Daphnia pulex: one gene and its partner. The protein of the gene in region 2 purifies or fractionates together with the protein of the main gene of each other region. This does not show direct contact. Links are inferred from orthologs where the notes say so. Each region holds a gene or a part of one and is shown on either strand. Other genes may lie near its edges. The genes, in order: ubiquitin carboxyl-terminal hydrolase 32-like and high affinity copper uptake protein 1-like.

The links.
Region 1: the proteins of high affinity copper uptake protein 1-like (region 2) and ubiquitin carboxyl-terminal hydrolase 32-like purify together in Homo sapiens (co-immunoprecipitation; 3 studies listed by BioGRID and IntAct, with this or other methods). This does not show direct contact. The link is inferred for Daphnia pulex from reciprocal best matches to the Homo sapiens genes SLC31A1 and USP32.

The regions. Positions count from the first base shown.
Region 1 is NC_060026.1:7,320,909-7,327,684, forward strand, and holds the end of ubiquitin carboxyl-terminal hydrolase 32-like, read right to left. Parts: coding exon 6,662-6,776; intron 6,604-6,661; coding exon 6,429-6,603; intron 6,358-6,428; coding exon 6,206-6,357; intron 6,135-6,205; coding exon 5,826-6,134; intron 5,354-5,825; coding exon 5,108-5,353; intron 5,045-5,107; coding exon 4,794-5,044; intron 4,735-4,793; coding exon 4,491-4,734; intron 4,435-4,490; coding exon 4,243-4,434; intron 4,112-4,242; coding exon 3,680-4,111; intron 3,613-3,679; coding exon 3,520-3,612; intron 3,461-3,519; coding exon 3,251-3,460; 3' UTR 2,792-3,250; coding exon of another isoform or gene 2,688-2,791; 3' UTR 2,571-2,687; downstream 1-2,570. Other genes in the region: probable 39S ribosomal protein L24, mitochondrial, read left to right, coding at 1,499-1,591, 1,724-1,791, 1,870-1,981, 2,039-2,098, 2,167-2,309, 2,374-2,510, 2,688-2,791. UniProt on the Homo sapiens protein: Deubiquitinase that can remove conjugated ubiquitin from target proteins, such as RAB7A and LAMTOR1.
Region 2 is NC_060017.1:8,209,786-8,217,015, reverse strand, and holds high affinity copper uptake protein 1-like, read right to left. Parts: upstream 1,927-7,230; 5' UTR 1,859-1,926; intron 1,794-1,858; 5' UTR 1,786-1,793; coding exon 1,615-1,785; intron 1,542-1,614; coding exon 1,408-1,541; intron 1,334-1,407; coding exon 1,226-1,333; intron 1,141-1,225; coding exon 933-1,140; 3' UTR 732-932; downstream 1-731. Other genes in the region: uncharacterized protein LOC124193369, read left to right, coding at 6,647-6,704, 6,795-6,816.

The DNA of each region.
Region 1 (6,776 bases), on a different chromosome or scaffold from region 2:
TCAATTAATCTATCAAAAATCTTATCTTGTTTAGGGTGGTTATTAACCTTATATGTTATTTATATAAATTTAAATACTATAAATAATGGTTCGAAATTAACTGAAAAAAGCAACAAGACTTCTGTATAATTTTACATAATTTCGATGTTACGTCATGACGTCATACGTCGAGTATGACTTGATAACCACCCGAATCAGTAAGTATCGGCTTTGACCTATTCATGAACTTATGTAGCCCACAATTATAAAAGCAAAATCTCCTGTCCTATTTACAATAAATGCTTGAATTGCCGCTTTATTTGCCGTTTCTTTTTTATACCAAAAGCACTTTAATTCAGACAACGGGCGATGGTAGAGAAATTATATAGTCAACCTAGGTTACGAAGAGATAAGTAAAGGTGAACTCTTGGAAGATTTATATCATCGCTTAAATGTTATTTCTCTAAAAGTTCCATCTTTAAGAATATCATAGCTGATGTCTTACAACTGTCAATTTTCCTAACTGCAGTAATCATTTTAATACCAGAAAAGCTGCAGCATTTTTCTTTTGGTGTTGGAACTACTAGGAAATGGTTTCCAATCTGAAAGTGAAAACTTAGTATTATTAGACTATTTATTTCAAATTTAAAGTTTTAACCTACAAACCTTCATCAAAGTCAGTACACAAGGAATGTTCTCTGTGTTTAGTCTCTTGGTATCATAAGGATCATCTGAGAGCTCCACATCAGGTTGATATCCGTCCATGGTTGCTATTTTAATAGATGGAATTTGTGTTGCAAAAAAAGAGCCGATTTCTCAGCCAATGACACTGCATCATAAGGGTTCCCTCCACATTCAAGAATCTATTTTAATGCCATTAAAATGTTTCATGAGAATTTGTTGATTGGTGGAAATATCACATCAGCTATACCAATATGTCAACATACATGACCCAACATTGCTGTGTCGTGTCAATAAAGAAAGTTGTCACACCCCATACTTTCGAGTCAAACTCGCGCGTGGGTTTTTAATTTTTGGGGCAGATTCATTTCGGTTAGCAATTTTTTTTCCCGTTCCTATTGTTATGGGCTTTTTTTTATTCCCTATAAAACGATTAATCGAACAAAAACATCGAACCCAAAGCTAAAAAGACACAAACTCCGCAAAAAAAAACCCTATCGGGAAACTCGCGCGCGAAGCAAGGGATCGGCATACAATCATGTTTCATACATATCAAAACTTATTCTTCTAAAGCACTGAAAATCAACAATCTCCGAGTCTATGACAGTAATGACAGGCATGCTTAACAATAGTTCTAAAGATTTCCACGTGAGGCGCTACTGACGCCCTGACGGTTTATACATGGTCTATATCTGGCGGGCCTGGGCCCGACAGAAGAATATTATAACCGATCCAGTACCGCCGGTAGCGCCGATACCATCCTACTGATCCTAGAATAAAATAAACCACATTGAAAACACAAACTGATATATATTTTTGTTACAAAAACCTACAAAAAATGAGGCTTACCTTAATATTATCCAAAATAGGGAAATATTCTACCGAATATTCTAATCTCCCTGAATCGTACATTAAAAGAGCTATGAAGCAAGTAAGATTTTTAATAAATTACGTCCATCCTAAACTCAAGATCTTAACTTAATTTTTCAAATGGTTATCATCTTGTGTAATATACAGTAAGTACATATCTATGTTTCATTTGATTATTTTATTTTAATCATAGGTTTATTGGGAAGCACCAAAAGACATACCACAGTATCTGCCTGTAACCCTGGAAAAGAAAAAATTCAGGTATTCCCTTCATGCAAATGAAAAAAATTTTATTGTCAGAAAACAGTCGTACAATTAGTTTGTGTTTTCAATTTGCAGGTATACAATGAACCGACCATGGACAGAGGAGTTTCGAAGACAAAATCTTGCAAAGAGAAAAAAGGTCTTTGTGGAACCAATTAAAGAGTGGGCATTTTTTAGAGGAGACAGGGTAAATTGACAAATTCACCTTATTAAAATAAAAAATCATTGTGTGTATCTGAATTAGGTTGAAGTCTTGGTCGGAAAAGATAAAGGAAAAATAGGTTTAGTAAATCAAATCATTGAGGTAATAATCATTAAGAATTATTTTGTATATATGAAAAATATGTATGTTATTTATTTATCTTTACTTAGGAAAGAAATTGGGTAGTTGTCGAAGGCTTAAATGTGCATTACAGACGAATCGGTAGGACAGAAGATTTCCCTGGTACAATGGTTCAGTCTGAAGCACCCCTCTTGGTTACCAATGAGGTTGCATTGGTTGATCCTTCTGATGAGTAAGAATTTCATTAAATAGTAGTTTCCTGTTAATGATACTATACTAATGATATTCTGGAGTAGTAAAGGCACTAAAGTGGAATGGCGGTTTACGGAACAAGGAGAAAAAGTAAGAGTTTCTCAAAGAACAGGGCATATAATACCCATTCCGTTGTCAGCTTCGGAGACCATTGATTTTAAAACAAGAGCTGGATACCCAGGTAAACGGTCTTTATCATTTTTCAACATACAGAATGCAATCACAACATTGATCAGCAAAATTATCAGAAGGTGTACATATATATTTACGCATCATTTATATTTTAAATTGCACAAGACGCGTAAAATCACGGAATATTTTTAAAGAATGAAACGCTATACATGCATTGATTTTACAGAGCAAGAAAAAGACACACGGGCCGCAGACGTATCCGAAAATACCTACGTCCCACAAAGCAAAACATTTGAAATGGACTTAATGGAGCATTACAAACTGGAATGAAGTCAGTTGCTTGCGTGTCACTGTAGCAAAATTGTTTGAATATAAAAGAAATAATGCCCACAGTTAAATGTCCACGTTCGTACCTGTTTGCGAATTTTCACGAGTGCACCGCGATATATATGTTAACACGAGTTTTGGTAAACTGGGAACAAAGGCACAAGAAAACAATAAGCAACGACTATCGGCCAAAATCAAATCAATAATAACATTCATAACAGAGGGGGGAAAAGATAACATTACAGACAACTACATATGGACTTGCACTATCCTACCGACACATTTTTCGACAGAGATAGTTATGATGGTGCATGGCACCTCGAGAATCAATCATACAAACCACTTACTGGTTGAAATGTTTGACCTTTGCGAGTGACTAGAGCGCGATCATGCCTATTTCGCTCTGAGGTGAAACTCGATACTTAAGACTGGAATATTAGGGCTAAATAGGTCAATAATGCATCACATGATGCAGCACTTTTTGCCATCTTCTTCTTCCAATCCAATCACTGCCGGTGTCCCTTTCCCTGCAGTAGAGTCACTATTTGCGCTCTCGGCTGAACTGGTACTCGGCTCCCGTAATTTGGGAAGATACGCCTTCATGTCAATTCCATCTCTTTCAAAAAACAACATGTAGGCTGTCTGTCCTTCGATTTGATTGGCCGATGATTCCTTGTAGTAAAAAAATTTAAACTTCACTGCTTACAATTTCTTTTATGAAAAATTCTTACCTTGCATGTTGAGTCGTTGTAGTAGAACCATTTACCGTTAGGATTTTTGGCATAAGAAATATAGTGACCTCCTCCCATGATTCCAGAATGACACTAGAAAGAGAAGCATAAATTTGATCAATCGTTATTTAAGAGTTTCAAGTCGTGCAATTTAAATTACCACAGCGGCGTAAAGGCTGTAGGTTATGTCCAGCTTATTGTATCCTGGTAGAAGTCGATGTTGATGAAAGTCTATAAGATCCTCGTCGTGAACTGGATGAGTCATTAGCGAGGTGGACTCGAGTCGTTTGCGAGTCGATTCATTGCCGTTGATCACTTCCGAAAGATTTGGTGGATGCCCGTTGGAATATGAAGTGGACGAAGTGGAAAGCTTAGGATTCATATCATCACCATTAGATTCGTCGTTAGCAGAGTCGACGATCCCGTTGGGAGGTGTGGAAGAAGCAACTTTTTGGCGGTGACGGACTAGCGTTTCGCTAGGAATAGCTGCTAAAAACTCAGTGAAATCCAAGTTGTTATGTGGAAATTGAACGGCCTTGTGAGACTTAATCCAACGATGATTTACAAACTGGAAACGTTTCAGATGAACAATCTAAAAAATGAATGAATTCATTAAATTAAAATTAATAAATACTAAAATACTAAATTATATTTGTAAAATGGACGTTCATTCATGCACATTTATGGCAACAACAAAATAACAGGAAAAAATATTAATCTTACCAGAATTGGAGGAAGTCTCCATATTTGTAGTTTTTTAGTAGCTGGCTGATGAGTGGCACATTTTGGACAGTAATATTTTTCGTCACCTGAAAGCTGTTCCTCTCGTGTGAAAGCTTGCAAACACTGTTCTAAACTGACTGGTTCAGTTTGTTGATGAACCGCTTTAGCTACGCTGGGATCTTCGTCAAAAACCTATAATGAATCTCGTTAAAAGAAGCGAACCTTAAATATTTGGAAATCAAGCTTGCCTTTTCAAGCGATGTTTGATAGCGAAGATGAAGGGCCGTCGGCTCCCAGTCAACGGCGATACAGTAATTAAGGACGCCTTCGACTGCTGGCGAATTGGTCTCACTACCGTTCGGTAGAGGGTCAGGTGTCGGTGGCAGCGGGCATCCTTTACAGAATTTGGTCCACGGGCACAGGCCACAATGGATTCCATTGGCCTGGACAACTTTTAGAGTGAAAGGGAACTCGTAGCCCAGACTGTCATCGCTAAATATAACACGTTTAAGTTCAAGATTTCACGAAATCATCTAATATAGCGAATTTACCAGTCATGGGCGTGATTCGGAAGAGTGCCACTATCAGTTGGTGGAGAAGGCGAGACCAGTCGAGAGACCAGTGTCCACACACATCTATACAAGTCTTGACTCGTGGTCTGTAGCAATAACACTTTGCTGCTTTCGTCTCCTGGATGAGATGAAACCCCATCCGTAGTCCATGCTAAAGGGACCAATAGTGGTAGACCGAAGAGACTAGGCCGCGTTTTGTGTGGAGAGACGAAATAGAGATCTTGTCGTATCTAGAAAATTACAAACAAGTTAAACAGACAAAAAAACTGGAAACATTTTGAATTTTAAGAGACCATTTTTCGATGGTAGACGACCAGAAAAGAGGCTCCCATTCCCAGAGCGCCGTTTAGTTCTTGAGCGCTACTGTTATTACTCGTGAGACTAACTGGGCTGCCCAAACCACCGCTGCCACTGCTCGTGCTGGCCAAACTAGAGCGATCACCACCGTTTCGGTCTTCATTGGTTCCACCGTTTGTTGTTGGACGATCAGCAGGTGACCGTGGTGGCAGGGATTCCTGTCCGACGGTTGACGAACCATTCTAATAATCAATTACATAGAATAATTCAGTAACTTAAATATCTCACATTTAGCTTAACTTGATGAACTGATCAAAACGAAAAACGATAAACAAATAACGACGTAAAACAGGTATTCGAAAAAACACAACTAGACATCCCAATCCATTCCATGTGAGATGAATTAACACACATTAAGGGGTTAATCTACAATAGAACTTCAAACCTTGATACACGATTGAATTCCAAAAGGTTTCAACATATGATAAAAAAGACGTTATACAATCTTAATTTTGAACCACTAAATAGGATTACAAAGAAATAGCAGAGATAAGTCAACATGAGACAAGAGTTGGGTAAGGAAACAAACATCCACGACCATTTAGTTGGCAAGTACTAACGAACAAAAGCAGGGAGAATTAACAAAGGACACAAGGGAAATAAGCAAAAAATAAAAAAAGGAAAGAAATAATAATGATGGTAAGAGGCGAATACCTTTCTACAGAATACGGTGCTCATCACGTTCATGCAGATACCGACGGGTCGTCTTACCTCCGAGCTGGTGTTTGTGTTGCCGCCCTCTTTGATATGAAAGACTTTCGCTGCTTGGTTATTGGAATGATCAGCTAGTTTGTTGTTGTTCGGACTGGACTGATCTTTGGCACCTTCTTCGCCGTCTACAAGGCCGATATGGCCACCATTTGTGGGAAGAAGATGGATGACCTCAGAAGAGTTCAGCACTTGATACGCGAATAAGGCAAAGCCAGACGTAGGTCGAACCTTGTTGCTAACCCCCGGAAAGCTCTGCATCACGTAGTAAATTTCCATGAGTATGAAAATATTTGATTTAACTAGTAATGTTTGATTTAACTTGCCTTAATCATTGCCCCTGATACTTCTGCAAGTAAAAGATGATCGTAGGAGACCTGGCACAAAGCGGCGAGTCTTTCTTTAAGTAGCAGATAAGTGGCATCCATCGGCAAACGAAGACCATATTTTACTGGAACTGATCCGTCCAAACGAACCACTGTTCGGCAAACGAAAACCATTGTGATATCAACTAAGTATTAATTTTTTTATTATGTGAAAAAAGCTTACCAACAACTTCGACATGAACGTAACTTTCGAGAGGTAGAGGTAGTGACAAGTAATTGAATGGGTCAAAGCGTACGCTTTCACGCTGACACACTCCGCATGTTACTTTCGATTTCAGTTGTCCATGGAAGAGCTCTACAACAATCGAACGGTTTCGCAAAAGATGGTTCTCCCACGCCTGAAATTGAAGTCAATCATAAAGAAGGACGATAAACTAAAAATTATAAAGTGACAACCTCTTGGGCTACAACAATATCCGGGCGTCCTTCACTGTCGCTTAATTCCACGTATGGCTTATCATGAACTCGATTCAAATCTTCGTGAAGACCGTCGAGCAGGAATGCCAAAAGC
Region 2 (7,230 bases):
TGTCTTGATTTCATCCTCTTCTTATTTTGTCTCCACAATCGTCTTCTTCTTTCAGTGGAAATCGAAATGTAGAATAAGGCAAAATTGTCCTTCCTGCTCCACCCCCCCCCCCTCCTCCTCATCGTAGATTTAAGTTTATTCAAATTACCATTTTTTTTTCTTTTCAATTGGAATTCAATGCAAGAACCCCTTGACCACCACCAACGTCTCCTCCACATGCGCCCGAATATCTCTTCTAAACACACTTCCCCAAGCTCCCGCCTCCCTTTTTTAATTATTATTATAATTAAGTGTAATCGAATGTAAATACTTGTGTAACACGTAGGACTCAAAATTGTCTGAAACCACGAAATGTCGTCATTGGAAACGTTCAAGGGTACTCGTTGACAGTGTAGACGCTTTCGAAAGAAAAAAACAAAACAAAATATTGAAGAAAAAGAAAAAATTGATGACAAAAAAATACTTGATTACAAAAGTCTTATGTTTTTCCTCTTTCTCTTTCTGCCCTCTTATCATTCATTTGAAATAAAGAAAATTTGAGAAAAAAACAAACAATTAACCTTATAAAAACCAGCACAAATAAAAATTTGCTGAATTCCTGTTTGTTTAAAATTCTTGGAAAATTGACACGTTGTGGCAATGATATTGTGTCGTGTCCTTGGATTTATTATTATTAACTTTTTTTTTTCCTGAAATGTGGTTTTCATTTACATACACAACTTAGCCATTGATGCTGCTAAAATGTCTCATTTATTCGAATTGTCGAGTAGTCATACCGACTAATATAATCCCATAATAACAACGGTCATTAATCCAATCGAATGGAATACAACCAAATAATTCCCCATGACACAAGTGACAAAATGTACACACACTTGATCCCGTTGATCCGTGGAAGGAGAGGAAACGTCATCATCAACTGCATCATTTTTCTAATGACAATGTTCTGTAATATCGACGAGAAATCCTTTGCGCCAGCCGAAGAAAAAGTAGCCGACGGTGCAGCCCAAAACGACGGCCATGAAGAGCCACACGTTGTAGGTCATGACGATCAACATGAGCAAATAGGAAATGATCATCTGGAGAAGATGTAAAGCCGTTTGAATGTAATGGGACGCACTGGTCACGCTCGTCTTGAAGCTGATTGGAGGAAAGACAAAAGCATTTAGAACACAAATCTCGTCTTACATTTAGAATTCGGAATATCGGTTCGGTGTAGTAGTACCTCATTGGCGTCCTATTGACTTGACTAGAAGTCTCACTGCCGGCCTCACCGGGAGTTTTGACATTGTTGTAAGTGACGGATGTATAATGTTTGCTACTCAGGTACTCACTGGGCAGAAATAAAAGATAATATTTAATTATTTCGATCAATGGTTGCAATAGTTAAAAAAAAAGATAAATTACCGGAAATATTTCAATCCTTCGTAAAGGATTCCCATCAGGAAAATGCCGATACAAGAACCGACCATAGCACCGACAGTTTGAATGTCCCATCCCTGGAACAGGACAACGGCCTTGTAATCTGCGTAAAAGTACATCTGCGAGAGAGATATAAGAGCTAGGTTAATTATAGTTTCGATTCCAAATTAAAAAAAAGAGATTTAAAAATACCTGCATCATCATCATCATTCCACTGTTTGGTGAGGCGTGATTATGTCCAGCGGTTTCGGCAACCATGGCTGCGTGGTCGTGCATTGTAGTGGTTTCCATGCTGGCACCGTGCGCGCCCATGTCGTGTCCATCGTGGCCCATATTGTGATGATCGTGGTGATCGTGAGACATTTTATTTTCTGTAACCAAAATAAACCAAAACAACAACGTTACCAAATGTAAACAACAACGTTTCAATTTCGACCTTGGAGAAACTTTAGGGCATATGCAACTGGCTTACGTATACGACTTTCTCGAGGGACGAATGGCAAACAACTACTGGAAAATAGGAAAGATGTGTGTGAAACCAAAAGTGACCCAACAACCGGGTTTTCCCTTTTCAAACAAATGAGGAGTGAGGAAAGTTAGCTCCAGGGGTTTTCAAGTGAAAGGCAATAACTTTCGCTCATTTTGTAAACATTGCGCGGAAAAAAAAAGTTGCACTTTCTACACAAGATTTTATCACATTTCCCCGTGGTTATTTCGTTTTGCAAAGTTATTGAACTCGATTTGCCAAAAAAAATTCGTTGAGAAAACGTGTGAAAATGTGCCTGGGCTCTCACCTGAATGTTACCAGTAGTGCTGCACGATCGGCTCCCAAATTGAGTCTACCAAGGATTTGGCACTGGGGCTGAGATAGAAAAGACAAGTGCTGACGCCCATCGGCAGTTGGAGGCGTCGCTTATATAGGATACCGCCGCGGTGGCGCGCGTGATTAGACCGGGCATACCGTTATCGCTCATCTCCGATGATAACAACAGGTTAATCTTAATCTCAGCACTGGACCAAAAAAATGTTGTTGCAGGAAAACAGGTTTTGATGAGCCTTTAATTTCAAGACGAAAGAGGATCAGTGCGTCCCATTACATTCAAATGACTCGCAATCCAGTCCACCTAGCGGACCATTACATCAGAAATGGGCGAAGCTAAAGGGAGAAGACTAGGACTCGGGGCTCTATTTTTAAAACTTTTTTGGCATTTCGGCAGCAAGAAAAAAATAAATCTCAACAAATATAATGTCGACCAAGACACTTTGGGTTGATGGGGGCACCAGGCGGCTAAACTAAAAATATGGGCCATTGGGACCAGTTTCCGGAATTCTACAGAATGAATTACAAATAATTCCGAGTAGAGTAATAATCCAAAATGTAGTCCATCCTGGATGTCTGTATTCCCTAGTCGCGATATTGGATCGGCTGGCGATGAAAAATGGAAAAATAGTTTTGTGCGTTTTGTGGTTTAAGGTTCACTCTCAGCTGATCCGCCATCACCGGACGCCCCGAGTTCGTCCCGGCGTTGGGGGGATACGACCCCCCCACTCCCGATCACCACCAGTCGCTCCACCCGTCGTACACTCGCCGCCCTTCTTTCTCTCCTACTATCTCGGCTCATGTTTTGTTAAAAATAATAACCACACAAGACGTGACGTCAGGGAAGTGCCGGCAGCAATGGGACCGACGTGCCGTGCGCAGAACAGGTACAACCGGGTCACTCTAACACGAAACTAGACGCTAGCGAATGAATTTTAATTTAATTGGCGGCAATGCAAATCGATTTGCGGCAAAATTAAATGGCAAATCATTCGTTTCGATTATTACGAATTTTCAACTTTTAATTTCATTTGAATTTTCATTTCTATAGGCGGGAAGTCGGAGGTTTGAATTTAGTCGTTTACCGAGTATGAGAGCAGTGCCGTGCGCAAAGTATGATCCTTGGACGGACGAAAGTCGATAGGGAGGAGGATGTAACCGTCAGACGGTCGTGCCGTGCGCATTAAACGCGTTCGATATCGAACAGAGAGCGGTCGGCCTGACGTGAGAGCCGCCTACGTGATCCTTCCTACACAGCACCCGATCCGTACATTGAACAATATACCAGTTGCACATACCGATTCGCCCCTTTTTTTTCCTTTCTCATCTCGTTAAACTTTGACCGCAAAATAACAACCGTCGCTATATTACACCAAGCCCAGTAACAATTATCTATATAGCTAGTCATTTGTGCAAACAATCTTGTTATTTTCAGTACAACCATCACGGCTATAAAATAGTTGATGGAATAGAATTAATTATGAGGATATCCGGATACACTTGAAATGCTTATACACGAACCGATGATCCTCTTATTGTTTGACGGGTGCATCATCCAAGCCAAGGTTAAAGCATTTTTGTCATTACATAAAAGACATTCTTGACGGTATTGTCCATTCCTTAATCAAATTCCTGAAATGTCTTTTCCTTTATTGTCAGCCGACTCAATATGACCCCGAAAATAAATCGATGAATGAAAGTGATCGTTTAATAACTTTAAGAACAGCGCAAAAATGATTTCGTGTTATTTAATGTCAAAATATTTAACTTTGAATATCTCATTTGTTTTTTTTTGCCACTCTGAGACAGTCCAATCCAATCTAGATCCTTTTTGTCACATCGACAAATTTCAATCAGATTTGCGAAATTAATCCAAGGTCGCTCCATGATTTATAAAGAGACTCGGTATCATTTATTTATTGCGACAGCACGATCACGATTTGTTTTCCTCTTCAGATTGCGTGAAACTTGAACGTTTAATTTTCACGAAATGTTCCCGCTCAACTCCGCCATCTTTTGTTGGGAAAAGAAAGCTCATTCAGCCCAATTTGAAACTTTGAATTCTACTGGAATTATTGGCCACCATGAAAGGATGACAAGATTGAATTATTTCAGTTGGGACAGTCTTCATCTCGGCTAAATTTCCCAATTAATTTTTTGGAAAAAAACAATTTGCATTAACTATGCATGACGTCATTAGATTTAGATGGGCATTGTGTTGATTCGATGGACAAGAGCAAAACGAGTTTTTGTGATCGATCTCCACACGAACGCGCAACACAAACAGAAATGAATCCTCCACCTGCATCGCAACAACCTTCAAACTGAAGAAGTCATCAGCTAATAAAATCATTTCTTTTGTTTGGCTCTTTATTTCTGCGTTCATCGGTCATCTGCCCTTTGCAGAAATAACCACACCCGGATTGTCTCTGAAAATAAATTAATTTGCGTGCAAATGCCCGGGATAAATAAAACGCATCATCTCTGCTATAGAAAAAAACCGGCCGTTTTACATCCAATGAACGTCCTTTTACCATCTATGAAAATCTAAAATAGATTGACATGGAACTAACCCATCATCCATCTACAATGAACGTTGTTTGGTAGGTAACATTGCGTTAATTGTGTTGCTAGGAGCAGATGGCCAACAAATGAGCGCTCATCCCAACAATTCTGTAAAAAAGATGCCTTAACAACTGGAGGTCTGCTATTGTGTTTAACCACATCAATTTTAAACTCGTAAAAAGAAATTGTATTGAAATCATTGAGATAACACATTGTTTTCATCTGCTCGCCCAACTACTACCCCTACGCCGGTTTGAACTACCGCGCTGGATTCCCCTACACTTACGGCGCTCCTTTCACCTACCCATTCGTCCAGGCGACCGCTGCTCCCGCTGCTGTGGTTTAAAATATTTGATCTGACTCAGTTAATGTTTACTTTTTGATATCGTTTTGTTACATCAGTAAATTTTTTTGTAATTATTTTGCATTCAATAAAAACTATTAATGAAATTCTTTTGGCATTTTGGTGACATATATCCTGCCGTTGATAAACAATCGTGAACAATGACATAGAAGCATAGTCAAGTTGTATCGAAGTTAAGCGTGATCGTCGGTCAATGGTGACCCTTCGAAATGACAGGCAGCAGAATCAATTCTAGGTGTCATAACATACTAGATAAACAAATTGACAGGCAAGTTCCTCTCATTTTTTAAAACAGTATATCAACTGATAATTCTCAAATATGAAATCATTCTAATTAACTGCTAAAATCAGCAACCAGTAGAAGAAAAGGGTCGTCTGCTCTTGTTTTGTTTAAAAAAAAACGAGAAACGAGATAAAGTGTGATGACACTCGAAATTCAGCTGAAGGTAAAATTCAATTTGACATGATTAAGTCTATTGCTAATGTATGTTTTAATTGTTTAAAGTCATTCGAAAGTCATTCGAAAGCAATCGTGTATTTGCGAAAACATCTTGGTAAACACAAAATTTCCTATTTGCTCTTTTTTGCTTATAGAAAAGTTACAACATTTTTGAATTGGAAAGTCATTTATTAATTAAGTTGTAAAACTAATTACACAAGTTGTTTGTCAACAAATCATTCCATTGTTCTTCCTGCAAGAAAATCACAAGTTTATGAGGAAAACAATGACGTTGAATTAGAAAACATGGTAAACCTAACATTTTCAAATGTTATTGCAAGTTTTTAGTTTTCTTTAATTTTTTCATGCTGCATTGTACAACCCTTTGAAATATTTATTTAACTTTAAATGCTCTGGTTTTCTTAGAGGGAACAACAAATGGAATGTTTGACGAAAAACATTAAACTATGTTTCACAATTTATTAATGAATAATTTTTTTTTTTAAATACAATAATGTTATAACTATAATCTCTAAAAGCAAAGTGCAAATAACAAATTTTATTACCAAGAAGGTCCTGCCGCCACACCGGCACCTCCTGTTTTAAAAATTAATGGTTATGTGTTTATCAGACTTTATTGCAGAGCGGAAGAAAACGAACGATGTGCTAGCTAGCCCTTTCGATTTCGTTATTTCGATTACAGCCGTTTGGTTTCCAGCTGAAAAAATATCCTGTAGTACTTTTTTGGCGTGAAACGGTTGTGTAGCTGACGAATCGAGAAATTGACATTGGCGAACCTTTTTTCTCACGAATCCCACCCATTTCACTCCTCAGCCACTTTGCTGATATGTCCAAAACAAATGCGGGTCCAGCAACAGTCCTTTTACAGCGGGAACACACCAAATGAATTTTGTCTTTAACAAAATTCGAGTTTTTTCCAGATTAAAGCTCAAAGTAAAATATTGCGGAACATGGGTGTGGTTGAATCAGCCAAGGGTAAAAGCGAAAACGGGATTCACCAGGTGTATCCTATCCCATGGATACACCGGGCGGGATGACTGCTCGCATAACCTCTCGTCAAACGAGATTTCAAGGTTATTTAGCATCCTTTAGTGAAAGGAATGGATTTGACCGTGAAATTTAAAAATAAAATAATATGCGGAAGTTTTTTCTCACAATTCAAGTAAAGGGTGTAGTCTTTTGCCCAACGGTGTTGTTTTTTAACCTTCTCTCTACTTCTGAGAATGTTTTCTTTCAATGTTGCTTCAACGTATTGTGTGATACGTATGTCAACGTTTGTTCTCCCCCCCTTTTCTTGAGTCGAGACTAGTGTCGTCTTGCTTGCTACTCACTCACTCTCTTTTGTCTCAACAAAGAATGCAGTTCATTCTTTCTTAGCACCAAAGTGTTTCAACTAAACTAAAAGGTATTGCACCATAGTTTCTAATCTCAACAGGTTATGGGCCCAGGGATTGACGTTTATTTACCACTGTCGTATTTATAATCTGTACAAGTTCCCAAGTTGAACGGAATACTCAATGACACCATTGAATGCCCAAGTTGGACGGAATACTCAATGCACCATTGAATGCCCAGTACAAATTCTGGATGACAACAAAT